Coturnix japonica: one gene and its partners. The protein of the gene in region 1 purifies or fractionates together with the protein of each later gene. This does not show direct contact. Links are inferred from orthologs where the notes say so. Each region holds a gene or a part of one and is shown in the gene's direction. Other genes may lie near its edges.

Region 1 (4,083 bases):
TAAAGCACTGAGGAATACTGAGGTTACCTGTGTTACAGGGTATGCTTTCATTTGAAACATAAAGCTGGTGTTGAGCTGTGCTCATCCTGGGGCTGCGAGCCTGCAGTTGAACAAAGATAGCAAAGTGAAAAAGGAAGGATGTGAGCTCAGCAGAGAGCTTGTTGTAAATCCCAAGCGTTGCTCAAGAGCCTGGGTTGGTGGAGAAGGGTTTAGGTTTGACAGTGTTCTTGTCTGGAGTTACCTGTGGGCAGAGCCCCCTCCGTCCTGTCCTTAGATAAGGGAGGCTTGGATTGCTGACCTATCACAGGTTGCTTTCAGCATGTGTTAGGCTCGTTTCTTGCCGCACTTGCATTTGGGTCTTTATCTCCCAGTAGTTAGTGAAGCTCATTGCTTGCTAACGATGTGCTGTGAGACACAGAAATCAGGGAGTTTTGACCCTGTGTGTCCCTCATTCTTACATAAGTGAAATTCAGTCATCACAGTAACTGGAAGCAGATTCACTTATGGGTTTGTGGCACGCGTTCCTTTGGGTAGTTCCAAACTTCAGTGTCGTTTGATTTCTCAAGGAATCTCAACACCCTTCCCCCGCCCCGTGTGTATCAGCAGTGCCATGATTATGCATTGACAGTCACTTGGATTTTAGCTATTCCTCAGTCATTGGAGCATTTTTATGTGCTTCTCATTGTGTTCTCCCTCCTTGTTGCAAGGGCTCAGTTTGTCTCAGCGTACGGAGCAAGTAAAACTGCTCTTGTGAGCTCTGTTTGCTTGTATCTACCATTTTATTCAGGTTTAGAAGCACGGTGACTTTCTCAATATTCTTTCAGCAAACCCTTGGTTAGGTGGCTCCTGCTGGGACAGGCTTTCCGTCCATTCTGCACTGTGATACTTTGTTATTAGGAGAGGGAATCTCTCAGGCTTTTAAGTACATACATCATTTAGAGTTACTTAAAAACAGTCTTGTTGACAAGCAGGTTTTTGAACTGTATTCTCTCAAGAGCTCTGGGTCTTCAGGTGGTACAGATGAGTTTGGTGTAGGGTAGTGAGTTGAGCATCTGAGAAGCTGATAAAGCTTTTCAGTTTCTTGTAGATGGGACTTGTATCATCTGGCATCAAAGAGGTTGATAGGAAGAAGCGAGGTTTTTCTGCTGTATCTCTGCCACTGAGGTCAGAGCCCAAACCTGCCTGAGGTGCCCGCTTTGGTGCTGCTGGCTCTGATCCTTAAACCTACATGGGGCTGTGAGGGTTTGTGTGCTGCTGCTTTCTGTCTGCATTTCTTTCAGCGCCGGTGGAACTGAGCCACCATGAATGGGGCTGAAAGCTAATACAAAAACCTTTTGTATGTATGATAACCGTGCCTTTCTGTGCTGGAAGAAGAGGAGAAAACTTTCTCAGTCTCCCTTAGAACTTCCCTGCAGGTATGGGGAGGGCAGGGGTGGTTCGTGGATTACATAAAGTGGCTGTTCTTACAGCTTTCTGGACTATTCTGGATTATTTGGCTTCCCTTAGGACTTAAATAACATTGCCGGAGTTGTCTCTTCTTTGCCTTTTCCTCAAACTTGAAGCACCTTCACTAGAAGTGATCAGAATAGACCACTAAAATGAAGGCAGCAGCGTAGTGCTGTGGCATTGCCTTCTGCTTTTCGAGGCACGGAAAATGAGCAAAGGAGCAGCTGTGGAGGATTTGCCCACTGTGGTTACTTAGTTTTGCACTGTCGGTGGTTTGGTTCGCTTTTGTCGGTGATGGTTTGGGGATCTGGTAGTGTGTTGGTGGGAGCAGCAGGAGGGGGTTGCTGGGTTTTGTTTAGGGATGTTTGCTTTGTACTTTTAAAACAACCTCCCCAGCCATTCTGCACTGAGTGGAGAGCTGCGGGGTGGGTGTGCTGGGGTAATGGGGGCTGCTGGGGGGGCTGGGATGGCAAGGGGCTGTGTGCTAATGCTGGCGTGGCAATTGGTGAGCTACTGATTTAAAGATTGAGGTCTGAGGTAGCAAATCTATCTTATTTCCTCTTCTGTGCAGGGCTTCCTTAGTTTAAGCTGCAGTTATGTTAAATTATGGCATTTGTAAGCCCCAAGAAATGTGATTCTGTGCACTCTGCCACCAGACCAGTGATCTGAGAAGATCGTACTGTTACTAATGTAACTACTGAGACATCTAACAGTGTGAGTGTAGTTAGAACTGCTTGTTCCTCCTCCGCATGGAGTGAAAGCAACTTGATAGACCTTTGTTCCCTCATATCCTTGAATTATGTGCCTGGAGTTCATAAAGCTGTTCCCAGGAATCAGATTGCTGATGGTGAAGTTGGGAGAAAGCAATTGAGCCGTTCACAATGCTATCTGTGTTGGCACTGTTTTGGAGTAAGCACAAACTCTTCTGAAGCTCTTAGGAGTGTGCGTGTTCTCCTTGGTGTGTTTCTTATCTGAAAGCCTTGAAGACTGTTACTGAGCCTATGTAATAAAATAGGTTGCATTCTTGTGTGTTCATGCTGCGCTGCTGTGTCTTGGGCTGGGTTTCAGCTGGGTTCTCATGACTTTTTCAGTATGAGAAGGAACTTTGCATCACGGAAACCACTGTTTTTATGCACTTGGTTTTGTGCTGCAAGGGAAAAATGGTCAGTGTTGTCTCATTGGGAGCTTGGCATTATAATATGCCAACCAAATAATCAGGCATTGTTCAGTAACGCCAGGTGGGAGGTATGGCCTGGCTCCGCGGTGGCATTAAGGGAGTACCGAGATTTTCCTGATACTGCTCTTTTGAGGAGATGCAAATGCAGATGAGATTACAGTGTGTTCTTTAAAAACAAAATACTTGAAAACAAAAACAAATCTTGCAAGAACTTCTGTGCCTCCTGTGTTGTTCACTGATGCCCAAAAGGAAAGAGGAATGTTCCAGATGACGAGTCATCAACTCAAGCGTTGCTTTTATCTTAACCTACACGGGTATATAGGCAGGTGTTTACATGCCTCCAAAAATCCTCGGCAGTGCATGGAAAGAACTTAGACCTTAATCATCTTTTCATGTCATAACAGCCCTTTCTCTTTCACATCTGAGAATTTTTGGGAGCCTCTCTCAAGAACCTTCTTTCATATTAGGGCAGGCAGGAGAATCTATTTTCCACTGAGCGCTGCTTGAAGATGGGAGATGCTTTGGGGTTTTGTGGCCTTGAGATGTATAGAAATGGGCAAGGATAAGAGAAAAGCCTTTAGTGTCCTTTAGTGACAGTAAATTCAGGAAAGATGCAGGTTTCCAAATGATAATTGGCCATGAAGGCTGGTGGGGGCTTCCTCTACTTGGGATGTTTTAATCTAAATAAGCTCTGGAGTGATTGGAAACATGAAATCAAGTGAATGCATGCCAGCATACGTATATACATATATTTAAATGGAGTTTATATAGGTGACGAATGCTTCAGGGTTCTTTGATGTGGAGCCATAGCCTCAGTTGATGTAAATTAGCACAGGTTCATTGAAGCTATGCCTGTTCGTACCAGCCTGATTTGATGCAAGATATCAGAATAAGTGCATTGATAAAGATAAGTTGCATCATATTAATAAAGATGTTAAAGAGCACTGGTCCCAAGACAGACCCTGACAATAGCAGGACATGGGGAAATGGTTTTAAGTTGAAAGAAGGAAGATTTAGGTTGGATGTTAGGGGGAAGTTCTTCACTAGGAGAGTGGTTAGGCCCTGGAACAGGCTGCCCAGGGAGGTTGTGGATGCCCCGTCCTTGGAGGTGTTCAAGGCCAGGTTGGACAGGGTCCTGGGCAACCTGATGTAGTAAAGGTGTATGTTTGGTGGCCCTGCCAGGCAGGGGGTTGGAACTACATGGTCCTTGAGGTCCCTTCCAACCCGGGTCATTCTGTGATTCTGTGATACTCACAATGTGGCACTTCTTTCTGCTGGAGCAGATATTCAGACCTGCACAACAATGTGGTGTTTTAAAATGTTGGTGTATTTTTTTACCCAGACATCTGAAATGTGTCGTCTGAAGCTGAAGAAATGGTGCTTTCAGGAAGATGCATTAGCAGTTCCTTTAAGGTAGCGAACACATAATGGATGTGTACATCACAGTGTCGGTTCTGTTT
Region 2 (3,929 bases), on another chromosome or scaffold:
GCCCCGACATCCAGCACATCCGGAGCGTTTCGGAGCGTCTCCTTCCTCCAGGGGTCCTGGCGCGGCTCCGGCTCGTGCCCACGTCCTGCACTTCCCCCCCCCCATTCTCCCCATTTCCCCTCTCGGTGCCTTCGCTCTGTTGCTGTAGTTTCACACGCGGCACCGCCCGGCTCAGCCCGCACCGCTCTCACACGCAGCCGCCGCCGGCAGCGGGGCAGGAGCGGGCAGGAGGCTGCGGCCCCACGGCTGCACGTGCGGGATGTGGGTGCGCGGGGCCGGTGGGATGTTCCCGTCCCGTCCGCCCGGCGCTGCCCCACGTGCCGTTTCCTTCTGGCCCCGCTCCGCCCCGCGCAGCCGTGTCCGCTGCCGCCGTACCCACGTATATAAACTCGCTTTTCCTCTCTGACCGTTCTCCCTCTCGTTGTCTGACGCCCCGCGGCGCTGCCCTGTGCCCGTGGCTGCGTGTCCCCGTTGGCGGCGCCGTGTCCCGCTCGGTGCGGCGGAGCTGCCGCCCGTCGGTCGCAGCGCGTTGGACAAAGCTCAGATTGTTTTGTATGACTGCATCCTGGTGAGCAGCACAACTAATAAAGGCTGTTTTGTAACGGAGCAGCATGGCGCCTGCTGAGCAACGGGACGGGGAAACGGCCTGAATCCAGCACGGGGTGGGCTGGGGTCGGACAGTCCGTACCGGGGGGTGGCCGTGCCCGGCCCGGAGCTGCGGGATCCCATTGCTGGGAGGGGGGGGGGTGTCCCCGCAGCGCGGACCGGGCGGTGCCGGGCGCTGACCCGCATCGCTCCGCGCGGGGCCGCTGCTGCGCTCCGGGAACATCGGGGGGTGCGGCCCCTTTAAGAGGCGGCGGCGGTGGCGGGTCGCGCGGTGACGTCACGGCGCTGCCCGGAACTCAGCGGGTTTCCCGCACGGCTGTTCCCGGCAGTTGCCACCTCCCCCCGCGCCGCCCCCTGCCCAGCACCGCCCCGCGGCGGGAGGCGGCGCCATCCGGGAACAGCCGGCGCGGGGCAGCGCCCCCAAGCGGCGCCGTCGCGATCCGTGACGTCACCTCGGGACGGCCGCGCTGATTGGCTGTCGCGGCCCGTCCCTCCCGAGGCGGACGGAACGCCGCGCCGCCATTGGCTGCGCCCCGCGTGACGTGAAGGGGGGCGGGGCCGGGGCTGCGGGAGCCGCAGTCGGGAACCGGGAACCGACCGGAGCGCGACCGTCAGCGGCACCGGGAACCGCCGGCACGGCCGGAACCGACGGTGAGAGTGAGATGAGTTATGGGAAACCGGGGAACGGAGCGAGAGGGAACGGGACGGGACTGGGAGGGAGCGGGGGGAGCGGGGCCGGGCCTCGGGTGCGACGGGCCTCAGCACGGGACGATCGTGGAGGCCCCGAAGCTGCTGCACCGACAGAGCCCGGCACTGAGCCCCGAGCGCGGGGAGCTGAGAGCGGCGGGACCGACATGGCGGACACTGCGCCGGGTGCACGGTACAACGCCTGGGCTGGGAACATGGAGCTGAGCCCTGCGGTCCGGTGTGTGGCAGCGCCGCGCTGTGCCGGGCCGTGCTGTGCCGTGCTGTGCCGTGCTGTGCTGTGCCGTGCTGTGCCGTGCCGTGCTGTGCCGTGCTGTGCCGTGCTGTGCCGTGCTGTGCCGGGCTGTGCTGTGCCGTGCTGTGCACTTTGAGAGCCAGAGCACAGCGGGGCAGGTCGCTGCCGGGGCTGGGCTGTGCTGTGGGGGTGGCTGTTATCGCAGCGGAGCTGCACCGTGGGCACTGAGCCCCGTCCAGGTGGCTGCAGCGCTCTCAGGGTGTCTCAATGTTCTCCCTCTGCTCCCTCTTCCTGTTGGTGAAGCCCCTGTAAGTTGTGTCACAGGGGGATGCTCTCAGGTACATCCAGGCACACAGAGCCCATCGTGGGGCTGTTTCCCTCAATGGCAGCACTGCTCGATTGTGGCTGTTGGGGTACGTGGAGCTGTGGTGCCACTGCTGAGCTCAGGCTGTCGTGCTCTGCCCTTGCAGGGAAGCTAAAGAAAGATGAACTTTAACTCTGGGGCTACTTTTAGCCGCTCTGCTCTGAGCTCTGCACAGCTTGTTTACCTCAGCGCTTGCGTCATGCTGTGCTCAGCCCCGCTCACATCAGTTGCTCTTTGGCTCTTCTCCAGCAGTGAGAGATGAACCACGGAGGCAGCAAACCCATCAGCATTGTTAGGGCTCAGCCCTCAGGCTTTTAAACCTGCCCCGGGAGCTTCCCCACAGCAGGATGGGCTGCAGAGGGATCTGTGTTGGGTTTTGGGCTGGCGCTGTGGAAGGTTTCATAGAGCAGGTGGTCAGGGGGTCACAGAGCATTGGGCACCACTGGGAGGGGTGAGCTGCAGTGAAGGAGGAGAATCCTCTTCCTGTCTCCTTGCTGCTCCCAGACGTTCCCTCCCTTTCCTCATCCTCCTGTGACTGATGGGTTGGCAGCCGCCATCAGCCGCTGCAGCAGAGCTGTCCCACTTGGCGAGAGCCCATAGCGCAGCACATTGTGTGGATGCTGTTCACAGCCCTTTTCCTGTGGTGGCGTGGGGGGAGTTTGTAGGTCAGGAGCCCATTAAGCTGAGGGGCGTAAAAACTCAATGTGGTGTTTGTGTCTGTGCTGATATCCCTGGAGAAAAGGGCTGAAAGGACCCATGGACCAGCAAGCAGTGAGCGCAGCTCAAGGCAGCAACCATCCCCACGGGCTGCTTCGCTCCCACAGCACTGAGTCCTTTGTGGTGCCTCTTATTGTACTGTGCGTATGTTCTGCAGCCACTTCCTTCATCACTTTGTGTGCCTGCGCTGGGAGGAGATGCCTGCAGTGGGATGAGGCTGAGCAGGTTGTTTTGCTTTGTGCAAGTTCTGTTTTTCAGGGATGAACGTGGCTGAGCACTTTGCAGGGCAGCTGCTGCTCCCTGGGCTGCACACAGGGTGGTGTGCAGGGACTTCTCCTTCAGTGCTGTACGGGTTTGGGTTCAAACACGGCCCAGTGAGACCCAGAGCAGAGCTTTGCTTATGGGAGACCTGCTTGGATCAGGGCAGTGCAGGGCGGGAGCTGCGGATGTCGGTGGTTTGTGGATTCTCAGCTCTTGGCTGTGTGTTTCTTGCTTCATTTCCCCCCCATCATGTTTCACACTGTGCTGGCAGCCTCTATAGCACTCAGCTAAAAGCAGTGTGAGCACCTGGGAGCGCTCCCTGTGCTGTGCCTGGTGAGCAGCCATGGGGTACAGCAAAGGGCCCGGCCTGTCGTGGTGTGAAAAGAGAAGTCCTGGGGTCACACACGTGTCAAACAGAGCCGAGTCTTCCCTCCAGTCTGACAGAATGTCTGTCTCCTTACAGGCTCCTGTTTCTCCTCCTCCCTTTCACCTATTGCTCTGTTAAATCCAGGCTTTGCTCACATGATCTTCTCTAGAGATTGCACCAGGCTGTGGTTCAAGGTTAATGTCCTCTGGATGCTGCTGTCAGCTGGGCTGCGCAATGCCACAAAGCTCTAAAAAGCAGCTTAACTCCTTGTCGGGTGCCAATCAATGTGTGTCATCTCCCCACGTCTCATGGTGGGGCTGATTCCCCTTTTTCTCCTCTAAGAACTATCCACAGAAATAGAGGAGGGGTCGCATACAACAAACACCAGCTGCTCTGGGGGGGACCCGGGGCACAGAGCTGTGGCCCCCACATCTCCCCCCCAGTCAGTGCCCATCTCCAGTGCCTCTGGGACAGCTCTGGTGTCAGCCATGTGCCAGCCCTGTGCCTCCTGCTGACGTGTCACTTGCTGGGGTTGCCTGCAAAAATCAAACCACTTTCTGGGGGAAGTGAGCCCGTGGTGAGGCTCAGTGGTGCTGCTGTGTCTGTGCTTCCTGCACAGCTTGCTGTCGCTCCTTCGGCTGACTCTGACTCCTATTGATGTGCGAGCCGCTCAC
Region 3 (3,500 bases), on another chromosome or scaffold:
AATGGCTCTTTTCCTCAAGAATGTGGCGTTTCATGGAATCCTGCTGGATTCAATCTTTGAGGAAGGAAACCAAGAGTGGGAGGTGGTATCCAAGTTGTTAACAAAAGGCATCAAGGATGGTGTGGTAAAACCCCTGAAAACCACAGTCTTCAATAAAGAGGAGGTAGAAGCTGCCTTCAGGTTCATGGCGCAAGGAAAACACATTGGCAAAGTTATGATCAAGGTAACAAGATAAGGATGTTGATTCCCTGATGCCTGTCATCCTCTGTAGGTGACAGTATTGGGTATTTTGATCCAGTTCAACTTGAAGTTGTGTAACAGCATGGGGTTATGGCTTTTGCTGCTGACACTGTGGCATGTATAGCACTGTCAGGTCTGTCACTCTGAATCCAAAAGCTTGATTCCCTATTGACTGGAGGAGCATAGTTGCATGTGGAAAGACTTGTGTTTGTGCATCCAATTTTAATGTGCTTTTCAATGTTTTTTGTTTGTTTTGTTATGGAAGATCCAAGACGAGGAGAAGCAATATCCCTTAAGGTCTGAACCAGTAAAACTCTCTGCCATCTCCCGAACTTCCTGCCCACCTACCAAGTCTTACATCATCACAGGGGGCCTAGGAGGATTTGGGCTTGAGTTGGCACAGTGGCTAATTGAGAGAGGAGCACAGAAGCTTGTACTGACATCTCGCTCTGGCATACGAACTGGTGAGCAGAAAACACAGAGGGTGGGGAACGCATTTTCCTTTCAACTGACCTCAGTTTGCTGTTTCTCTCAATTTTTAAGTGTTTTATCAGCAAAGAAGAACATCTTCATAACTCTTTGCCCTCTCTCATGTATATTCTCTCACTTCAAACAAGCTGTGATTCATTTTGTTCTGAAGGATGAAGTATCTTTGAAGTCTGCCTCTTTTTTCCATCTACTTCTTTCTTCTTTTTATTCTGCATCCTAAGTCTATCAAACCATGTTTGTCTCTTTCTCTCTTACCCAGGATTTTCTTCCTGCAGTCTTAATTTTCAGCTTTGTTCCCTCTATGAAGTCTGTATCCAGTTACATCACCGCTTTGTTCAGTGGTAGTAACTTTGCTAAAGATGCTCTTTCCCTTAAATTGAGTGTGGTTGCTCACTTTTGCTCCTATATAAGGCTCATATAAAAGGCCGTACCCTGCTATCTAATAACACCAGAAACTTTTTTACTGGATAATTGTGGATAATTTGATTGCAATCTCAGTACTGGGATTCCTTATCAGTGTTGATCTTCAATGCTCCCTTGGGGTAATTCAGCCCTATCAAAATTTGGGTCTTTATGAATTTCTTTGTTCTTTTAGCAAGTTCACAACTTCTGCAAACATAGTTCAAATCTTTTTTATACTTCTCAAGTTCTGGTTGTCCCACTGTTGCCTGCTGTCTTGATCTAATCTTGCTGCTTTTTCCTGTCTTGGTAACTCATGTGCTCTCCCACCCTGTTTTCCTGAATCTCTTGTCTTTGTGATCTGTTTAGGGTACTCTAAAACTTGAGTGATTTCTTTCTACCATGCAGGTTTTGTTCGTTGTTCCTCTTGTAGCTGAACTGGGATTTGTTCAGCTATCCAGTCCCTGTCTTGTCTTTCTGACTACTGTAGGAAGCAGATTAATAAAAGCCAGATGGTTTGAGTGCTTCATCCCATGTGTATGTTTGTTTGTTAAGGCTACCAGGCTAAATGTGTCAGAGAATGGAAGGCGCTGGGAATCCAAGTGTTGGTCTCTACCTGCGATGTTGGAACTCTAGAAGGAACGCAGCTTTTGATAGAAGAAGCTTTGAAGCTCGGACCAGTTGGGGGCATCTTTAATTTGGCTGTGGTAAGTGCCAATAAGGCTTAGAAACTTGCAAGAGACAGCAGACATTAAAAGTGGCTTTTGCCACTTTTGTGCAGTTTTAGGTTCTGTCTCTGTTTCAAAGGGTGTTTTCCTTTGGCCTGAGGTAATGATTGAAGGCTTTTGGGTCTTAAGGTCCCTTAACCTGGGAAGCAGCAGTATGTGACCAGCCAGCTCAGTTTTGGGTTAAAGTGAATGTTACCCATGACCTCTAGGGACAAGAAGAACCCTATGTAAATTGTACCAGTTGAAGTCTGCAGTGGCAGCACTGAGAAGAGCAGACTTAGCAATAGATATATTGGCCTTCTTATATTTCATGACATCCAGGATACGTCTGTGCTGTAAAACTAGAAAAATGAATTGTATAGTGATATCCTCTTGTATCTGTGAGAAATTTAAACATAAACTGAGATACTGATACCATTTCTTTGTTTTAAACCAATCTAATAGGTCCTTAAAGATGCCATGATTGAAAATCAGACCCCAGAATTATTCTGGGAGGTCAACAAGCCCAAGTATTCAGGCACCCTTCATTTGGACTGGTAAGTATCTGTGGAAAGGACAAATCTGTGCTGTGTTTATGATCACTGAGTTGACCAGGCTTCAATATTTCAGTCTCAGATTAGCTTTCCACAGCAACATGTGGTTTCCAGTTTTTCTAATGGGTTTCTTTGTCACCTGTTCTATTTCAAGGGTGACTCGTAAGAAGTGCCCAGACCTGGACTATTTTGTTGTGTTCTCCTCTGTAAGCTGTGGAAGAGGAAATGCTGGGCAAAGTAATTACGGCTTTGCTAATTCTGCCATGGAGCGTATTTGTGAGCAGCGGCATCACGATGGGCTCCCAGGTAAGATGAATTCATTCTCTGCATGGAAAAATCTAATCCTACCAGACATTCAGAGGAGAACCAACTCACAGGGAATCTCTTTTTGGAGTGAAGACTGTTTCCTGTTGCTGCTGTTAACCTAAATCATTCAGATGTGAAAGAAAACTGATCCTTCTGTAAATAGTGCAAGAGAAATGCAGACTTTTGCTTAGCTGTTTTTAGCTCTCTTTTGTTACTATGTGCTTAAATTAGTTGCTAAGTGTGTTCTTCCTTGTGATTTCTCCACCAGGCCTGGCAGTCCAGTGGGGAGCCATTGGTGATGTAGGCATCCTGAAGGCAATGGCAAACAAAGAGGTTGTGATTGGGGGAACTGTTCTCCAGCAAATCAGCTCATGCCTGGAGGTGCTCGATATGTTCCTGAATCAGCCTCATCCTGTCATGTCCAGTTTTGTCCTGGCAGAGAAGGTCTCTGTGAAAAGTGAAGGAGGAAGTCAACGGGATCTTGTAGAAGCTGTTGCTCACATCCTTGGTAAATGCAAAGTCTAGTCATTGCATAGTTGGTGCTCATTTTTAGAAGGGGTCTTGCTGCAGTGTGCTCTGAGAGGAATAGTGTTTTCAACCTGTAGTGGGAGGAAAGTGAGGACTGATGTGCTGTACCTCAGCCTCTGATTGTTTCTAGAAGCATCCTTTGCCTTAGCAGTCATGGTCGTACTGCTGGTATGATTATTTCCATAGAGGTTTGCATGAGAACCTGAGAACTGTGTGATAGGGTGACTGGAGGTCTGTCTGTTCCATTATTTTGTGTCCAGTAGTGACCAAAAGTTTG
Region 4 (4,099 bases), on another chromosome or scaffold:
TCACTAAAGCGGAGCGGGGTAAAGCTGAAAGTGAAACTGCGCGGTAATAGTTTCATTTTCAAGTCGGGGGGGGGGGGGGAAGTGGAAACGTCGCCGACATAAAAGAACGCGAGCGGAGAGGCTGAGGAAACCGTTCTTCAGTGGTTGTTATCATACAGCGGCTGTTTGTCATTCTTTAAAAGCGATCCGACCACTTCCAGTAACAACAAAGAATCCTCAGATTTAACAGAAGCGACTCGGTTCATTCTTTTTATTCCCGTTAATCATCTGCTCAGCCAGGGGCTGCGTTTCCCTTCGCCTCCGAGCGTAGCGGCTTCTCCACCTTAACAGACCGTCTTAAAGCAGCGGGGATGGCAGCAGCCATCTTACGGGTCGCTGTCACATCTGCCAGGCTCCGGGGCAGCTTTAACGCCGGGCAGGGAACGGAACGGGGCAGGTGCAGAAATCGGGAGCTGCTATTTCTTTTTTACAAGTGCACGTTTTACACGCACCGGGATCCCCCTCCCTCTCGGTATTGCAGCCCGAGGTTGACACATCAAAGAGCTGCGGATCGCACACCAGAGCCCAGCCTCAATCCCGACCTTTTAAGCCGTGGTGCCCCGCTGTGTTAGTGCCATTTGCGGTTTCTCACGGCTCGACCGCGATTTTACATACGTGCGACAGAGCGTAACTTCCTCGGGACTCCTGCGCGCTCAGCGCAGTTACTGCTGTGGGATCACTTGCTTAATTGTTGCTTTCAATTAAAAGGCAATAGACATAGGATGACCCGCTGTCAACACTCGGTCCGGGACCAAAACGAGACGTTCCTGGACCATGCAGGGAACGGAGCAGAGGATCTTTGAGTTTTACGCTTAAAATAAACTTACAGATATGTATAGACTGACTTGGAAATCACCTACAAACCCGTTGAAAAGCAGCCGCAAAGTGCAAAGCGTGGAAAAGCACCGCTGAAGTCAAACAAACCGTGGCCCTACGAGGGGCAAGGGAGGCGCGTGGGCTCCGCCGGTGAAGCGGCGCTGCCGCCCCTTTGCCGGGCTCCTCAGCCCCTGGGGTCGGGCCCACACTCGGCGCCTGTGGCCGCCGCCCGCCACCGCTCAACTCCGCGCTTCTCAGCAGCGGGAGGCGGGCACCGGCTCCCCCCGCCCGGCGGGACAGGAGCCGCCCGCGGAGCGCCGGGGCCCTCCTCCCGCCCCCCCGGGGAGCAGCCGGCGGCGGCGGCGCGGCGAAGGGGAGGGTCTAGGGCCGGGCGCACCGCGCCGGCCGGCCGGACGGGCGGGCGGCAGCCGCCGCGCCGCGGGCATGGCGGAGGCGGGCGGCGGGGCCGCGGCCGGTGCGGCGGGAGGCGGCGGGCCTCAGCAGGGCTCCCCGGCAGCCGGGGGGGTGGCCGCCGCCTCCGCCGCCGGGGGCCCGGCTCGTAGCGCCGCCGAAAGCCCCGGGGGGCCTGGCTCGGCGCGCACGGCCGGGAAGAAGGCTCAGCTGCGCGCAGCTCCGCGGGCCAAGAAGCTGGAGAAGCTGGGCGTCTACTCCGCCTGCAAGGTACCCGGCCGCGAGCGCCCACCCGCCCACGGAGGGTGGGGATTGACGGAGGGAGGGGAAGGCAGTGCCGGGCCGGGCGGGAGGCAGCGCGGCTGTTAGCCCGGCGCTCCCCGCGGAAACGGCGGGTCCGGCAGAGCCTCGGGTCCCGCTGCCCCCGGAGCCTCGGGAACGGCGGCGTGCAGCCTCCGCCCAAGGGAAAGTTGCGGCCCCGCCGTCACGTAGCGCCCGACGGGGCCCTGCCCTCCGCCGCGCCCTGCCCCGGCCTCCTACACCGCCCTGCGTTGGGCGCTGCCGCCCTGCGCTGTGCTCCGTAACACGCCCGTCCCTACACCTGCAGCCCGCTTATGGACGCGGGGGGGCCGCGACCTGCCTGTTCTGTGCGGGTGCGGAGAGCGGTTAGAGCTGTGCTGCCCCGGGGCTCTGTGACAGCGGGAGCGGTATCGGTGCGTGTGCGGTGCAGGGCTCAGCGCAGGCCGCGCCGGGGCTGTCAGGGCGATTCCTGGATGCGCAGCGAGCTGACACGCTCCGGTTGGCAGCGCTGATGCAAAACACTCCAGTAATGCTCTCGGTGCTGAAAATAATTGAGCAGTTTGCTGGAAAAGTGTGTTTCTGTTCTTTCTGTTCCCTTACTTTGGGATTTCCAAGAAGGCATGAAGTGAATATCCCAACTAAATGCCCACTGACGCGAGGGAGCATCCCTGTGCAGGTCCGCTGCCCTGCTTGGTGATGTGAAGAGCTTGCTGTCTGCTGGAGCCATGTCGCAATACTGTCATTTGAGGGCAAGCTCAGAAAGCCACGTGCCTCAATGTCTCTGCAGTTCACCAATGTGTAAGCGTCTTTGCTTTGGCCTGGTTGAGTCCACGGCATGATGTGAGGTTACACTGTGTCAGTCAGTTAAAACCAGCCAGTCTGGAAACCTGCTCCTCTCTTGGAAGGTGGGGGAACGTGGTTTGAAGCTTTCCTAGTGCGATGAAACAGTGTCTCTGCACTCTGTGCCTCAGCAGCCCCTGTGCGCTGGAGGAGAGGTGGGTGTTTCAGGGAGGGCAGGGCCTGATGCCAGCCCTGCCAAACCTCTCCCAGGCTGCTGGTGGCACAGTGATCACTCACCTACTCGTGCCCTGCAGGGGTGTCTGTATTATCCCAAGGGTCCTGCAGGGAGGCCCACTTGGTGCTGTCTGGTGGACCTGGGTGTGGGGCTGGAGTACCCTGGGCTTCATCCTCATCCCTTGTCAGTAAGCAGGCACAGCACAGTACTCAGTGTGACTCCCTATGCGCATTCCAGTGCAAACCTGGCCTCTGCTACCTAACTTTCCTTCGGGAATGTACTGGCAGACAACATTCCTTCGGGTCTCAGAACATCAACAATGAGACACCCTTGTAAACTCATCAAGTGCTTTCTCCTGTGGGACAGGGAGAGGATGAAGCTGGGTGGAAGGATGTGTTGTTTTTCTTCCTGAACACCTGGCTCCAAACTGCTTGGGCATACAAGAGTCTGTAGCAGCACAGAGTGGAACATTGAGCTTTTTCTTACTCTGGGTTGCAACTCCTGTTCCACTTGTTCTGTGTGCGTGTGAAAGCTCAAACAGCCTATCTCTGAATGAGGTTTCTGTGGTAGCAGCCATGTTGATCTGCAGGTCTATGTAGAGCTGTATAAGTTGGAGGGCAGAAAATGTGTGACAGTTTCCTTAGTGTTAACAACCTTTGCCTAAGTAAAATTCACCCCACATTGCTGCTACTTCAGCACACAAAGTGTATTACAAGCTTAACCCCCAGAGATGCAGGGAATGGCAAAGACCGTGGGTTTGCTGGGGTGAGCAGCAGCGTGAGAAGATGGAGAGATGTCAGTGGCTGGGAGAATGCCTGGGGTGGGGGAGGAAAGGTGCCATGCTGGAGAGAAGGCTGCAAGTACTGCTGAGCTGAGTGAGAACTGAGGTTAGGGATCTGCTGCCCTGTCCTGGGACTGCAAATACATGTTTGCTTGTTTTTGTTTGAGTGGTTTGTTTTTGTTTTCCTGCTAAGGAATTGAGGCAGGAGAGTGGTCACCATGGAGCTTCACTGCTTGACTTTTCTCCTGTGAAATAAAAAGCTCGGGGTAGAAGGGCAAGAACAGACTCTTCTGTGTAAAACAGCCTTTTAAATGCCCGAGTCTGTGTGGGAAGAATGTGCATTCTGAACAATAAGAGATATGTAAGGAGTTGGCAGAGTATCCGTGACTTTTAGAAGTACACAGTAGAGCTGTATTTGCGCAGCATTTTGCATTTGGCAGTCACTATATCTGCACACATATGAATGACCGCATACATCGTTTTGGTTTTGCCCGGTGTGAAATTCAGCATTGGATACATGAGTTTGCAGCACTTTCCATAAAAGCGGCACTGTGTCGCTTACACACATCAATATGTTTAATGAAGATGAAGGAGGAAGTCTTTTTATTTTTTTTCACACTATTGGTTTGTGAAAACATAACTTTCTTTCCAGTCCCACTGGGAGTTTTTCTTTAAAAATATGTTGAAATAGGTGCTATTTTAGTAAGCTAGATTTTCTGTGCAATTGGTTATTTCTC
Region 5 (4,268 bases), on another chromosome or scaffold:
CTGGCTGAGTGACTCAGGCTGCAGGATGTCAATAGGCACTTGCAGTGGGTGGCACGGGGGGTGGCTGTGGGCAGTCAGCTCCGCTGCTCAGTGCTCCCCATCTGCCACAGCAGCTCTGTGTTGCACTTAGGGGGACATCTGCTGCATCCCTGCATTTGGGGGGCACAGAGGAACAGTGGTGACCCCCCAGGGTTAGTTGGAGGGGGGCATCCCCACTGTGTGCCCAAAGGTTGGAGACAGGGAGCACAGGCATCCCTGTGTTGCAGCCATAGACCTGCTGCCTGCCCTGGCCGATATCCAAGTGGAAGTTTCCGCAAGGCCGGCCCATCACATCCCTCCGTCGAGGCTGAGCAGAGGGAACTGCCAAGGCAGAGCAGGGAATCCTCGCCAGGAGCAGGCGTGAAGCTCTCCGGCGGCTGCAGGGGAGGGTCAACATGTGCAGAGAGCAGCAGCCCGTGGTGCTGTGCCGGGAGTGAAGTCAGCCTTCATCAGCCGAATAGTTTATGCATGAATCGAAACTTCAGACCTGGCAGGGTGGAGGGAACGCGCAGGAGCTTTGCTCTTCGCAAACGCTCTCGCCAAGGAAGGAGGAGGGGATAGAGGAAATAGCAGCAAAATCAGGCTGGGGAAGCGGGGAGAGGTTGGAGACGCTGGATGAGTTGTTGGCGCTGTTATTGCGAGGAGCCAAGTTCCCTAAGCATCTCCTGGTGGATATTAACAGAGCTGCGGTGAGCGGAGTGCTCCCCCCGACACTCACGAGCTGTGGCTTTAAGACTGTTTCACAGAGGACTTGGGATTTCCATTCTTCCTGTGCCTGGTGGAGTATTTCGGGGAGTTCCAGGATTTTGGGGTCATGCACCCCCTTTTTCCTCCTTCTTCCTCCTTTCTCTTCCTCCCTTCCTCTTTCTTTTCATTTCAAAGAGACAAAGCTACTTCAGTTTGGAGCACAAACATATGATCAGCACATGGAAATGTGGTAATTTGGATGCATTCATGATTGCAACAGATTGAAGAAATTAGACCAGACAAAGAGCTTTTTTTGGAGGAGGAGGAGGCAAGGCAAGGAGGGAGGGAGAGTGGGTGAAAGAAGGGGACGCCACCGAAAAAAGGGACGGCCGTGACACGCGGATGCTAAATATATCCTGTAGTAATGGAGAGGGACCGGATTTCAGGTAGGCAATCGATCTTTAATACCTTCTATTCTGCCTCTGCCCTTCCTACCTTTCCAGCAGCTTCTGCACTTTAGGAGGAGCAGCAGCCCCGCTCCGGAGCACGTTCAGCATATTCCATTATTTATTTATTTTTTGCAACATTTCCTTTTTGCCTTTTCCCCCTACCCACCCCCCCTTTTTTTTCCCTTCCCTCCTGAGCCCTCCAGACAGAAGGTGGTTCCAGCAGAAACCAGGGGGGGAGCGAGTGGGGGAAAAAAGAAACTGCTCTCTGAGTCTGGATCTCATTTGAGTTTCTCTCTTCCACCTCCCCCCCACCCCCCTCCTCTGTTCCCATGTGCCGCGCGGCGCGGGGGGATGAATGCTGAGCCTGTTAGCTCCGAGCTGCCAGTCGGGAAGAGGGAGGAAAAGCGCCGAGCTCTTGGCATGGAGACGCATTTCTGCCCTGAAGGTTGGCTCCTGAGTGCGTGTGTGTGGCTGTGTGCTGTGGTTGAGCTCTCTGCCTGCCCTGTGCTGCCGCCTGCCCGGCTGGGATGGATGTGGCCCCAGCTGCTGCCAGGCATCCTGCTGCTGATGCTGCTGCTCACCTGGTGGAGCCTGGGGCGCTGGGGAGGGCATGGATGGAGGGAATTGAAAGAGGAGTGAGTCACTCCTGTGCAAATCCTGGTGCATGTCTGAGCGCTTCCAAAATGCGCTCCTGGGTGCATCGGTGTCTCAGCAAACTGCTTCTGCAGCATGTCCAGGGTGGCCACGACTGTAACCTTTTGCTCCTTGCACAGGGAGATGGGGCAGGGTGCACTGCGAGGCTCCGTGCATGGAACCATGGAGGGAAGGTGAGGGGCAGGGATTGGAGCTGGGAGCCCCAGCGGGATGTCACTGTGGGTGTCCGTGCTCCTTGCACAGCTGGCGGGCACCAGCCTGCTGCTGGGCGTTCCCAACCAGTTGCTGGGCATCACTGCTAAAGGGAAACCACAGGGATGAGAGGAAACGCTCATCCAGGGCGGAGTGAAACTGTGGCCAGAGAAAGCTGCTGCCATGGCCAACCCCCAGGCAGAGCTGCAGGGCCCAATTCTCGGTATATGTGGAGGGTCTCAGGGAAGGCACTTGCCTGTGGGAGCACCCGCTGCTCCTCACCACTTCTGCATAGTGTGGGTGATGCATCCTTGTCCCTCATCTCTCTTGTTCACGCTTTCTCCTCTGGTTTGAGACCACCTCAAAGCATTCCTGAGAGCTGCTCCTGGGGCAGAGGCAGTGCTGCAGGCTGGGAAGCCCTCAGCTGCTGTGTGCAGGGATGTGGGGATTGGGGGGCAGCAGGGTGGGTTTGGTCCCATTGCAGTTTGACCTCACACACCTCCTGCTGTGGTCTCCCTGCAGCCCTGGTTCCCCTATGGGGGCTTTACAGAAAGACTGATCGCTGGGGTGGTGGTGTGATCTGGGGTCCTTTGTTACAGAGGTGCAGTGAAGGTGGGTCTCTCTCACCTTTCAGCTGCTTCACACAGTATGAGCCCTCGTGTCCGGGCTGCCTGTCGCTGCTCCCAGGAGTGCAGCAGCAGAGGGTAGGAAGATCTAAGGTGAGCATGTCTGTGCAGTGATGCTTATGCTCATCCTTGAGGTCACGAGTGATGTTTGTAAATTGCCTACATCCAAGCACATACATATTTCTCTGTCCCTTGCTGGAAACAGGTTTTCTGTGAGTGCTGCAGGTGTGGCACCAGCAGGGCTGTGGGCAGGTATAGGGGCAGGCGTAGCTGAGCATGACCAGCCCTTACACTAAGGCACTGTGCCCATAGGGCTTGGCACGGGATGGGCACATGGCTGCTGTGCCCTGCAGGATGGGAGAGCTGTTCCAGCTGTCTCAGCACCGTTCCTGATGTGTGGCTCAGCATGAAATACGGGATAGGGGGATGGGGAAAGTAGGGCTGTTCCTGTCTGTCCTGATCTGGAGGGGCTGAGGGAGACGTGTGGAGGAAGATCCTCAGCATGGCAGCAGCAGAGGGGCTGCAGAGAATGTGAATCCCGTTCATGGGGGCATAGGAAATAACTTTAATGAGGTTCTTTGTGCAAAATGTGTACTGTCACTGGGGAGAAGAGGAACAGGCTACAGCTTGCCCCATTCAGAAGGTGCTCCTCGCACCCCATGGCCGGGGTGGAACTGCCCCCAGTGCAGCAGCACTCTGACCTCAGTGATTAAACCGAAACATGACTCAGATGAAAGCAGATTTGTGCAGTGCTGGGGGCTGCATTCGTCACTGCTCTGGCTCTGAACATGCTTTTAATTAGTATTCTGCTGTGGGTGGGAAGAGCTGACTCTTGAGCTGACTGTATTGCTGCCGGATGGGGTGAGGGCACCTCGGGGCGGGTGGGAATTGGGCTTTTCTCCTCTTTGAGGGCTGTTTTCCCACAGCTGCTGGAGCTCAGCACGTCCCATGGGGTCTCCTCTGTACAAAGACGGCTCAGGCTTTCCTGGAGAGGAGCAGTGTCCCTGGTCCAGCATCCCATGCTGACAACAAGCTCTCGGGGTGAAGGCACTGAGTGCAGGGGGTGATGTTGGAGCTGCTCCATGGCAGTGAGGTTTCCTTGTCCCCGTAGCAAGGCAGTAGGCTCTGGTGGTACCTTTGAGTTGCACATGTCGCAAACATATCTCATATAACCTGATCTTTCCTTTCAAACCGGTTAACCCCCATCACACACATTTCCACAAGCTAATACTGCTTAAAAAGACAAAAATGAGTTTCCAGGCATCCTGCTCCCATGGTTTGGGACCGGACAGCTGTGCTCGGAGGCTGCAATCCCGCTCACATCTGATCCTGCTCTCTGCCTTTCCAGATGGCTCTGGTGGCAGCGGGGTGCTGCTCGGCTGGGGGCAGCTTTCCCCAGCAGATGGCTGTTTTCATTAGCCCACAACTTTCTACAAAGCCTTAACTGTTAGTGCCACGGGGCTCTTTTCTTCTTCATTAAAGAAAAGGAAGAGTCTGGTTGCTGTGTTGATATAGGGATGAGTGCATAGGAAAGGAAGTGCCATATCCTAGGTAAATTATTAATGCTGCCCTTACAATAGCCCATGGAAGTGACTAGTAGTGATTGCAACACCTGATTGCA
Region 6 (4,209 bases), on another chromosome or scaffold:
GCTACGGATCTCCTGATCTTTTGGATGCTCGAATTCCGGATTGAATACATCGAAACCCAACCGACAGAAAGAAAAGCAGCCTCCAAACAATCCCCTCAGGCTCCTGTGCTGTGCCGGGCGTTCTGCTGGGGCAGGCCGGGCAGCAGCGGGTGCTGAGCTGAGCTGAGCCCACCGCGCTGCCGGCAGCTGGGGGCGGCCTGCCAGGAGCGGGTTGGGGCGGGGCGTCCATTCTCCTCGCATATTTGTGAGCAGTGGCACAAACTGCCTTCGGTAACAGCTCAGCGCTGCTCGGAGCGCTCCGGAGGGGTTTTCCTTAAACGCCGAGTGAAAAAGAAGCGTTGTTAGAAGGACTTTATGTGTTAATATGCAGCCCGTACCTATTTTATTTGTGTTTTAATGGGACGTGATGGGATCTTTGAGTATTTAATCAGCTGGATTTCAGGCTCCAATCGTGTAATCCTACGCACTGTCCGCTCGGGACACACTCCGCACTAACGCTGCCTCTTTTTCCTTCCCGTCAGGACGGCAGCGGCCTGTGTTACCCATCGCGCTCAGCCCACGCTCAGACCTTCTCGTATCTGCTGCTGGACCCGGCCCGGCGCCACGTGCACACGTTGTACCACCGCTTCGGGGGCGGCGCGCCCTGAGCTCGGCGGGCCGGGCGGGGGCTGCGCGGTGCGGGGCGGTGGGACGGTGGGTACGGAAAGATGTGTGTAACGCCCGTCACACACCCCGTCTTTGGTGCTGTTCTCACGGGGTTGGACTATTCTGATTCTCACGGGGTTGGACTATTGTGATTCTTCTTTTTTTTCCCCAGTTTTGACCCTCCTGATGCTGTTTTCACGAGTTTCGGCCCATTTAATAAAAGTAACTCCTCCAGATGTGTCTGTGCTCGTCCCTTCCCGCTGCTCGGCCGCTGTCCCACCGCCAGGTGAGGCCGAGGCCCGGCTCCCCGCCGCCTCGGTCCCGCGGGCGGGTCGTGCCCCCTCCCGGCCTTCCCCCCCCACGTCTCCCCGAGGGGGGCTGCCCCCTTCCGGGGCGGCGGGGGAGGGGAGGGGAGCGCCGCAGCTCTTCCCAGCTCTTCCCCACCCCCTCGGCGGGAGCCTGAAGTTGGGAAGAGAAGTTGGGGAAAATAAAAGTTGTGGTTGGCGGCGCGGCTCCGCGGCCGGGCGGGCGGCACAAAAGGGACACGGGCGGGACGGAGCGCGGAGCGGAGCGCTGGGCCGGCGGGACGGGCCGAGCCGTGAGGAGACCGAGGGGCCGCTGTGGGGGCCGGGCCGCTCCCTGCGCTTCGGGGCGCCCGGTGGGCGGGAGGCGGTGCGGGCGGGCGCGAGCAGGAGCCGCGAGGAGCTGGGCCGTGTCGGTCGGATACGGTGCGGGCGGGCTCAGGAGGGGCGGAGCCGGCCGCAGAGTGATTCGGGCGGGCGTAACTGCGAACTTTTGTTTGGAGTGTTGTGCGAGTTAGTTTCCGCCGCCGGGACGGAGGCGCCGGCCGGGCTGGGCCGGGCTCGGGGCAGCGCCGCGCGGCCGGAACCGTTTCGGGCCGTCCCCGCCGAGGGGTAGGAAGCGCCGGGGGAACCGAGGGGACGAGCCGCGGCGCGGGGCATGCGGGGCCGGCCCTGAGCGCTCTGAGCCGCCGCCAGCCCCGCGAGGAAGCGCCGGGGGGGTCCCGCAGCCAGACATGGATCCCGGGCAGCCTCAGCCGCAACAGCCGCCGCAGGCGGCGCAGCCCCCGGCCCCGCAGCAGGCGGCCCCGCAGCCCCCGGGCAACGTGTCGGGAGCTCCGGGAGGCGCCGCGCAGCAGCCGGGCGCGGGGCCCCCTCCGGCGGGGCACCAGATCGTCCATGTGCGGGGCGACTCCGAGACCGACCTGGAGGCTCTTTTCAACGCCGTGATGAACCCCAAGGGCGCCAACGTGCCGCACACGCTGCCCATGCGGCTCCGCAAGCTGCCCGACTCCTTCTTCAAGCCGCCCGAGCCCAAGGCTCACTCCCGCCAGGTGAGGGGGGGCGGCCCGGCCCGGCGCTGAGCCGCGATCTCCGATCTCCCTCCTTCCCTCCTTCCCTCCCTCGCTCCCTCCCTCCTTCCCTCCCTCCGCGCCGCCGCCGGGCTCCTCCCGGGGGAGGTGTGCGCTGGGGGTGGGGGTTGGGGGGGAAGGGGCCGGGGCGGGAATCCGCCCTCGGTGCGGGCGGGGGGCGCGGGGCCGGGAGCGCGCTGCCTTCCTCCGCCTCCTCCTCCTCCTCCTCCTCCTCTCCCCGCTCCTCCCGCCACTCCGAGGGGCCGCCGTCCTGGCCCGGGCTCCGGGCGGCCCTCGGGCTCCACATCCGCTCCGTGGCCCGGCCGGGAGGAAAGGCGAGGAGAGGCCTCGGAGCGGTGCGGGGAGCGCCGGGACTGAGGGTTCCGATCGGCGCTGCGGGACGGTCCGCCGCTGGGGGAACGGCGGCGGGCGGTGCCAAACTTTTTCTGTCTTTTTTTTTCCCCCCCGCAATATGGATGTGGCTCTTCCACCATTTCATGTCCGCAATGCGCCGGGTCGGCTCCGTCCGCGGAGCTCCCTCGTGTCCCGGGCTGAGGGCAGCGGGCTCCGCCGCCGTTCCCCGACGGGAAGGGGCCGCGTCGCTCAGGTGTCACTACGAACTAACGAGCTTCACGTTGAGCTGCACAGTCGGTTTTGTTATGGGCCGCCTCCGCTCAATCTGTGCAGCCGGAGCGAAACTCGCTCCGTGTCGCAGCGGCCGCTTCGTGAAGGCCCTCGGCTCCCAGGGCTCTGCGCCGTGCGGAACCCTGGCACGAGTTAATTCATTGCCCACGTACTCGAAAGGCTGCCCAGCCTTTACGGCGTGAGACTGGAGAGAGAATAGCAGGGGTGGGGCTCAGCTGCTCCTATGGTTTTTTGCCTCGCTTCTGAGCTGCAGACTTGTTAATTGCACTTTGAATCCAACCCAATTAATGGGGTTCCTTCGGATCGCTCCCCTTGGTGTGAGTTGTATCTCAGTTTGGTTACACAGAAGTGTGGGCTGCACATGCTCAGCTGCTTCTTGTTGCTGTGTCTTGGCAAACACAGTATCTATGTGCAGTTAAACAAGTTCAGCATGCATTTAATTTTCATGCAACTGTTGCACTTTTGGTGTTCCCTCGCAGTGACCTGTTGCTCCACATCCTCTGTGTGTGCTCCTTCCTTGGGTTCTCATCCCACCCAGGAGCTCCTACAGTGCAGCCTTGATGTTCAGCTGGAGGCAGAGAACCATTGCTCTGTTGTTCACTATCGTTTTTTTTACAGTGCCGACAATAGCAGGACACGGGGAAATGGTTTTAAGTTGAAAGAGGGAAGATTTAGGTTGGATGTTAGGGGGAAGTTGTTCACTAGGAGAGTGGTTAGGCCCTGGAACAGGCTGCCCATCGAGGTTGTGGATGCCCCGTCCTTGGAGGTGTTCAAGGCCAGGTTGGACGGGGCCCTGGGCAACCTGATCTAGTAAATGTGTATGTTTGGTGGCCCTGCTAGGCAGGGGGGTTGGAACTACATGATGCTTGAGGTCCCTTCCAACCCAGGTCATTCTGTGATTCTGTGATTTTCGTAGTTCCCATTTGTTCATTTGTGACATAAAATGTCAGTCAGGAAAGGACGTCTGTATTTCTCTGTTTCAAAAATCAAAGCTCCTCAGAGTCCATTCAGTTGCTCCTCGTACACTGCTTAAATGTAAAAGTAAGCCTCCTCGGTTCCAGTTTAATAAATGACATGTTCACATATAGTTGTAGCAAAATGTCCCCATAGGAGCATATAAGTGGGGCCTTGTATGGTGCAATACCTGCATGGAGAGGCGTGGCTGGACTGATACGTGCATCTCAGTGCACGTGGCCATGTCGTTCTGGGGTATCTATGAGATGATTAATTTTTTTGGTACGTTTACCATTTACCAAAAGGTTTTTAACCCAATTTTCAGCTCTGCTTTGTCTTTTTGGCTTTGGACGTCTATTTCCTACTGCCAAAGAAGCTCTCGTACTTCAGTCTGGCAGCTCTGTGAATGGTCTCTGAGTCACTTCTGATTGACTGGTCAAACAGTTTGCGGAAGCTTTCTTTAGATAAAGCGCTGGCAGGCTCTTTGTGAGTGCCCTTAAAGAGCAGTTGGGCTGCAGGTTGGGAAACTCTGTGCTCAGCCTTTTGTAGCTCTGATGGTTGAGTCCAGGAGTTCTCCCTCTCTTGGAGCTCAT
Region 7 (4,118 bases), on another chromosome or scaffold:
CCCATTACAAGTGGTGTCCTCGAGGGGTCGGTTCTGGGGCCCATCTTGTTTAATATCTTCACTGATGACCTGGATGAGGGGATTGAATGTACCCTCAGACAGACACTGAGGCCTTGGAATGTGTCCAGAGAAGGACAACAAAACTGGTCTGGAGCACAAGTCTTACGAGGAGCGGCTCAGGGAGCTGGGATTGTTTAGCCTGGAGACTCAGGGGAGACCCCGTTGCACTCTACAACTTCCTGAAAGGAAAGGAGGGGTTTGGCCTCTTCTCCCAGGCAACAAACAGGACCTGAGGAAATGGCCGTAAGTCATATCCGTGGAAGTTTAAGCTAGATATAAGCAAGAACTTTTTCTCTCAGAGAGTGATCAGGCACTGGAATGGCTGCCCAGGGAGGTGGTGCAGTTGCCATCCCTGGCAGTGTTCTGGATGAGGAGCTACGAGCAGGATCGCTGCTGTTGCCTACACGAGTTCTGCTGCTCAGGACAAGGCAGGGAGAGGTGCTGGCTCAGGGCTGGACGTAGCGTGTGACTGGGGGCTATGCCCATAGAGCGGGACAGACAAGGAGCTGCTGATCACACTGCCTGCTTACAGAACTCTGCTTACAGGCATAATACGCCAGCCAACACATAGTTAAAATGACGTCTTGAGCACGCTTGTATAACACCCGTGTCCCAGCACCGCCTCCCTACCTTTGCTTCTGCCTGCAGGCTGGGAGCATGTTTATCCAGCTGTATCACAGCGTGAGCTCTCAGTGGGCTTTAGCAGGAAATCCTGCAGCAGCCTGGGCTCTGATCCCTTCACCTCAGCACAAAGCTTTCTTTTTTTGGCATTCCACGTGATTGCCCCGGTCTTGACTCAGCACTTTGCTGGCCCGGCAGCATTTAATGGTTTGGTTTCCCATCACCACCTCCTCCAGAAAAACAGCAGCTCAGAAAGGCCGCCATCTGCTCGGAGCGAGTGTGAAGTGCAGCTTTCATGCAGTTTAGATAGAAAGCCATTGTTTTAGAGCCGTGGCCATCGTGCTACCCCAGTAACAGCCGCAGCTGAAGCGCTCTGCTGCCAGGCTGTGCTGGGCAACGCTGTTTCTCCCACCATTTTTCCTTGTACTGAACTGTAAGCCGCCCTGTTACTTTAGCCCTACACCAGATGCTAATTTCACTCTGCTCTATTGCACATCACCCGATTTACTTGTTATGATATCTACCATCCCTCAGGGCCGCTGCACACAGAAAACCCACCCGCCCGCGGCACCGCGAGGGGCGCAACCGATCCGCCAACCGCGGGATCGAGCTCCGCCCGGCGCTTGGCGGCGCCGCCCTCCCCTCACATGACCGCTGTCGACGCTCTTGCCGCGCCCGCCCGCCCCTCGGCAGAGCCCCTGTGCCGGCACTATGGCCCCGCGCCGCCCCTACGGACTCGAGTTGTTGTCGCTGCTGCTGCTCGGAACCTGCGGTGAGCGGGGCGGTGCGGGGTGGGTGTGGGTGGGTGTGTATGGGTGCGGGTGCGTGCCGCTGTCCCTGGGGCCCGTGACGCGGCCGGTTGCCGTAGTGCCGTAGTGCGGGCGGGGGGGAGCGCGGCGGGGCCCAGCCGGACCGGGCGGCGCCTCCCAGGGTCGGAGCGGGGCGAGGAACCCGCTGCGTGAGGCCTAATGCAGCCACACGGCTGTGCGTGCAGAGGGGAAACGGACCTTACGGGGCTCCTGCTTGTCCTTCTGCTGGGGCAGAATAAAAAGCGAAATAAGGACGCTCTGATCGGGAGCCACAGCTCTGGGTGTGAAGCGCGGAGCTGCGGAGGGGCATCGCAGGCTTAAGGCAGGCTCCGTCCTGCCTATAGCCTGCCGTGTGACGGTGGGCTCTGCCGTCTCCAACGCTGTTATACAAGCAGGGTGAGAGGAGCTGGGATGTCGCTCCGTGCCATGAGGCTTTGGGGCCTCTGCTTTTCAAACGGTGTGCGATAAGCGTCGCAGTTCATACGGGGCATGAGGAACGTGTGCTTTCTTATGGCATCTGGAAGGAACCCCTACTGGGGAGGAAACACACCGATATCTGCTTTTACAGTTGCAGTTACTTGCTGTCAGCATAACTAAGTAGGCCAGGGTGTGCCTGGTCTGCCCTATGAACTTGCTTGGTGTGGCATTTCTCTTTGCTGTCCTATTTGGTAGCACCTATGCTGAAATATCCCCTTTGGAGAAGTTAGTTTCAAGCTGTTTTCCCTGCGGAGAGAGCACCTGTGTGTGTGTGTATGGGTTGCACTGGTTGCCCAAAGCTTTAGATTTGGCCACGTTCTTTCTGAAACGAGAAGCACTGGTGCACAGGTGCAGTATCAAATCCCTCCTCAGCTCAGAAGGGAAGGACTTTTAGTGTTGCTGGAACTCCAAACTGACTCTTGGCAACGAGTTCCGGTGCTACGTGGTAGCAGATTGCAAAGCTGTTATCTCTCGGTTGCACCATCCATCTCTGCACAAACAGTAACTGTTGTAAAAGCCACACTGCACCGTTGCTTTAACAACGTGCAGGCTCCTAGCCTAGGCATGAGACGTACTGCTTGGATCTGTTACCCTGCTTACTGAGAATCAGTAACTAAAGAAGTATGGCTGTTGTCAGGAGACTCTTAGGGCTTATTTAATAAGTTGTTCTGTGAGCTGTTGGGGACAGGGTGCGTGTTTATGTGCCTCCTGTAAATAAATAGAGTGTGGCTTGGGTTACTGAACGTGATGCTTAAGTGATATCATCAGGTGTTATGCTTGGTCGGGTGGGGTGATGTATGTGCTGCCATTGTTGAAGCTAGAACTCCTTGAGGTTTACTGCTTCAGGTTTAGAATAAACCATTTGAAAACCTTCATTTACTGCCTTGTCCTTAGTCTGAAGTGTTCTTACCACATAATAGTTCCATTAGGGTTCCAGCACTGATAAATTAATGGTGTGGTATTGAGCACAATTTGCTTCAGAGCCAACATGGTTAAGTTTCTCCTGGCTCTACCTCGGGTACTTCTTACTCTGAACAGCATCAACAATGCAGGCTGCACTTGAATGCTGTTAAAGCCAACTGTCTTGTGTGCGGAGCTTTGTGATGCTGGTGGAAGAGAGCCAGTATGGGGCAGGGAGGAAGTCCTTAATGTCAAGGTGATGCAAAGCGTGAAGTACTGTGGATTCTGTGTGTTGAGGGGTGGAAGACTTGAATGGCTATTGAAGAGAACTGTGCAATCGTAGTTACCATCACTTTAGGGAAACGAGCCTGACTAACATCAACCTTATGTTAGTCAGGAATGATGCTTCTAACGTTTCGATCCTGTCTGTTTTAGGGAACTGTGGCAGGCTGGGAATGCTGAACAAAACCAAATGAGAACTGGCTTTGGGGAAGTCTCTGTGTTGGGAGTCAGGCTGGGTTAAAAATCCAACTACAAGTTCTCTAAAACCTTGAATGAAATTTAACATCCGTGTCCTTTGAGCCAGAAATTGTAGAGATGCAATGAAAGCACACTGATCTGAGAGGTCAGCTGGAGTCGTGCCATTAATAAGACAACATGGAGACTCTGGTCGACAAGCACTGCATTGTTCTAAATGCTGTGCTTGTGCAGTTTGGTTTACTCAGTTTCAGCCAGCAGAAAGCTAAAGCTCATCTAATTTGTTGGCCTTGGTCAGGCAAGTAGACTATAAATTATCCTCTCAATTAGTATTTAGCATTGATGGTGGGCTTCCTAGTTTTAACATTTATTAGATATCTGGCTATCGGTTCAGTGTCTGACAAATAGAATCCAATCTGAAATCATGTACTACTTTGTAATGAGCATCAAGTCTATGTTTTAATAGCTAATAATTGTATCTTACAGGTTTTTTCCAGTCCTATGCAGTGGAAGTAGATGTAAAGGATGCCTCTAATGTTACATGCTTGTATGCACAATGGATGATGAAATTCTTGATAAAGTATGAAACAAACAGTAGCGATTATGTAAGTATTTGGAGGAACTCTTGTTGAGAACTGCATTTAGCATGAAATAAAACTATTTGATACATTTTGTATTTAGTTTATTGGCTTTCTTGATAAAGGTAAAAGATAAAAGCCTAAAATAATCATACTGATCTTGTGCAAGGCTCCATCTAACCCTGCCAGGTTTATA

Evidence for each region.
Region 2: the proteins of HIF1A (region 1) and STAT3 purify together in Homo sapiens (affinity purification with western blotting; 4 studies listed by BioGRID). This does not show direct contact. The link is inferred for Coturnix japonica from reciprocal best matches to the Homo sapiens genes HIF1A and STAT3.
Region 3: the proteins of HIF1A (region 1) and FASN purify together in Homo sapiens (affinity purification with western blotting; 3 studies listed by BioGRID and IntAct, with this or other methods). This does not show direct contact. The link is inferred for Coturnix japonica from reciprocal best matches to the Homo sapiens genes HIF1A and FASN.
Region 4: the proteins of HIF1A (region 1) and KAT2B purify together in Homo sapiens (affinity purification with western blotting; 4 studies listed by BioGRID and IntAct, with this or other methods). This does not show direct contact. The link is inferred for Coturnix japonica from reciprocal best matches to the Homo sapiens genes HIF1A and KAT2B.
Region 5: the proteins of HIF1A (region 1) and SEPTIN9 purify together in Homo sapiens (affinity purification with western blotting; 4 studies listed by BioGRID and IntAct, with this or other methods). This does not show direct contact. The link is inferred for Coturnix japonica from reciprocal best matches to the Homo sapiens genes HIF1A and SEPTIN9.
Region 6: the proteins of HIF1A (region 1) and YAP1 purify together in Homo sapiens (affinity purification with western blotting; 3 studies listed by BioGRID and IntAct, with this or other methods). This does not show direct contact. The link is inferred for Coturnix japonica from reciprocal best matches to the Homo sapiens genes HIF1A and YAP1.
Region 7: the proteins of HIF1A (region 1) and LAMP2 purify together in Homo sapiens (affinity purification with western blotting; 3 studies listed by BioGRID). This does not show direct contact. The link is inferred for Coturnix japonica from reciprocal best matches to the Homo sapiens genes HIF1A and LAMP2.

Annotation. Positions count from the first base shown.
Region 1 is NC_029520.1:49,088,880-49,092,962, reverse strand, and holds the start of HIF1A (hypoxia-inducible factor 1-alpha), read left to right. Parts: upstream 1-1,283; 5' UTR 1,284-1,305; coding exon 1,306-1,415; intron 1,416-3,959; exon of another isoform or gene 3,960-3,974; coding exon of another isoform or gene 3,975-4,036; intron 4,037-4,083.
Region 2 is NC_029542.1:4,519,762-4,523,690, reverse strand, and holds the start of STAT3 (signal transducer and activator of transcription 3), read left to right. Parts: upstream 1-1,129; 5' UTR 1,130-1,257; intron 1,258-3,929. UniProt on the Homo sapiens protein: Signal transducer and transcription activator that mediates cellular responses to interleukins, KITLG/SCF, LEP and other growth factors. Once activated, recruits coactivators, such as NCOA1 or MED1, to the promoter region of the target gene.
Region 3 is NC_029533.1:4,307,664-4,311,163, forward strand, and holds part of FASN (fatty acid synthase), read left to right. Parts: coding exon 1-223; intron 224-505; coding exon 506-704; intron 705-1,683; coding exon 1,684-1,835; intron 1,836-2,300; coding exon 2,301-2,392; intron 2,393-2,543; coding exon 2,544-2,695; intron 2,696-2,963; coding exon 2,964-3,203; intron 3,204-3,500. UniProt on the Homo sapiens protein: Fatty acid synthetase is a multifunctional enzyme that catalyzes the de novo biosynthesis of long-chain saturated fatty acids starting from acetyl-CoA and malonyl-CoA in the presence of NADPH.
Region 4 is NC_029517.1:32,849,232-32,853,330, forward strand, and holds the start of KAT2B (histone acetyltransferase KAT2B), read left to right. Parts: upstream 1-1,299; coding exon 1,300-1,536; intron 1,537-4,099. UniProt on the Homo sapiens protein: Functions as a histone acetyltransferase (HAT) to promote transcriptional activation. Has significant histone acetyltransferase activity with core histones (H3 and H4), and also with nucleosome core particles.
Region 5 is NC_029533.1:3,250,072-3,254,339, forward strand, and holds the start of SEPTIN9 (septin-9), read left to right. Parts: upstream 1-1,468; 5' UTR 1,469-1,526; coding exon 1,527-1,620; intron 1,621-4,268.
Region 6 is NC_029516.1:163,478,071-163,482,279, reverse strand, and holds the start of YAP1 (transcriptional coactivator YAP1), read left to right. Parts: upstream 1-1,409; 5' UTR 1,410-1,681; coding exon 1,682-1,999; intron 2,000-4,209. Other genes in the region: CFAP300 (cilia- and flagella-associated protein 300), read left to right, coding at 522-647. UniProt on the Homo sapiens protein: Transcriptional regulator with dual roles as a coactivator and corepressor. Critical downstream regulatory target in the Hippo signaling pathway, crucial for organ size control and tumor suppression by restricting proliferation and promoting apoptosis.
Region 7 is NC_029519.1:15,317,026-15,321,143, forward strand, and holds the start of LAMP2 (lysosome-associated membrane glycoprotein 2), read left to right. Parts: upstream 1-1,318; 5' UTR 1,319-1,392; coding exon 1,393-1,453; intron 1,454-3,830; coding exon 3,831-3,949; intron 3,950-4,118. UniProt on the Homo sapiens protein: Lysosomal membrane glycoprotein which plays an important role in lysosome biogenesis, lysosomal pH regulation and autophagy.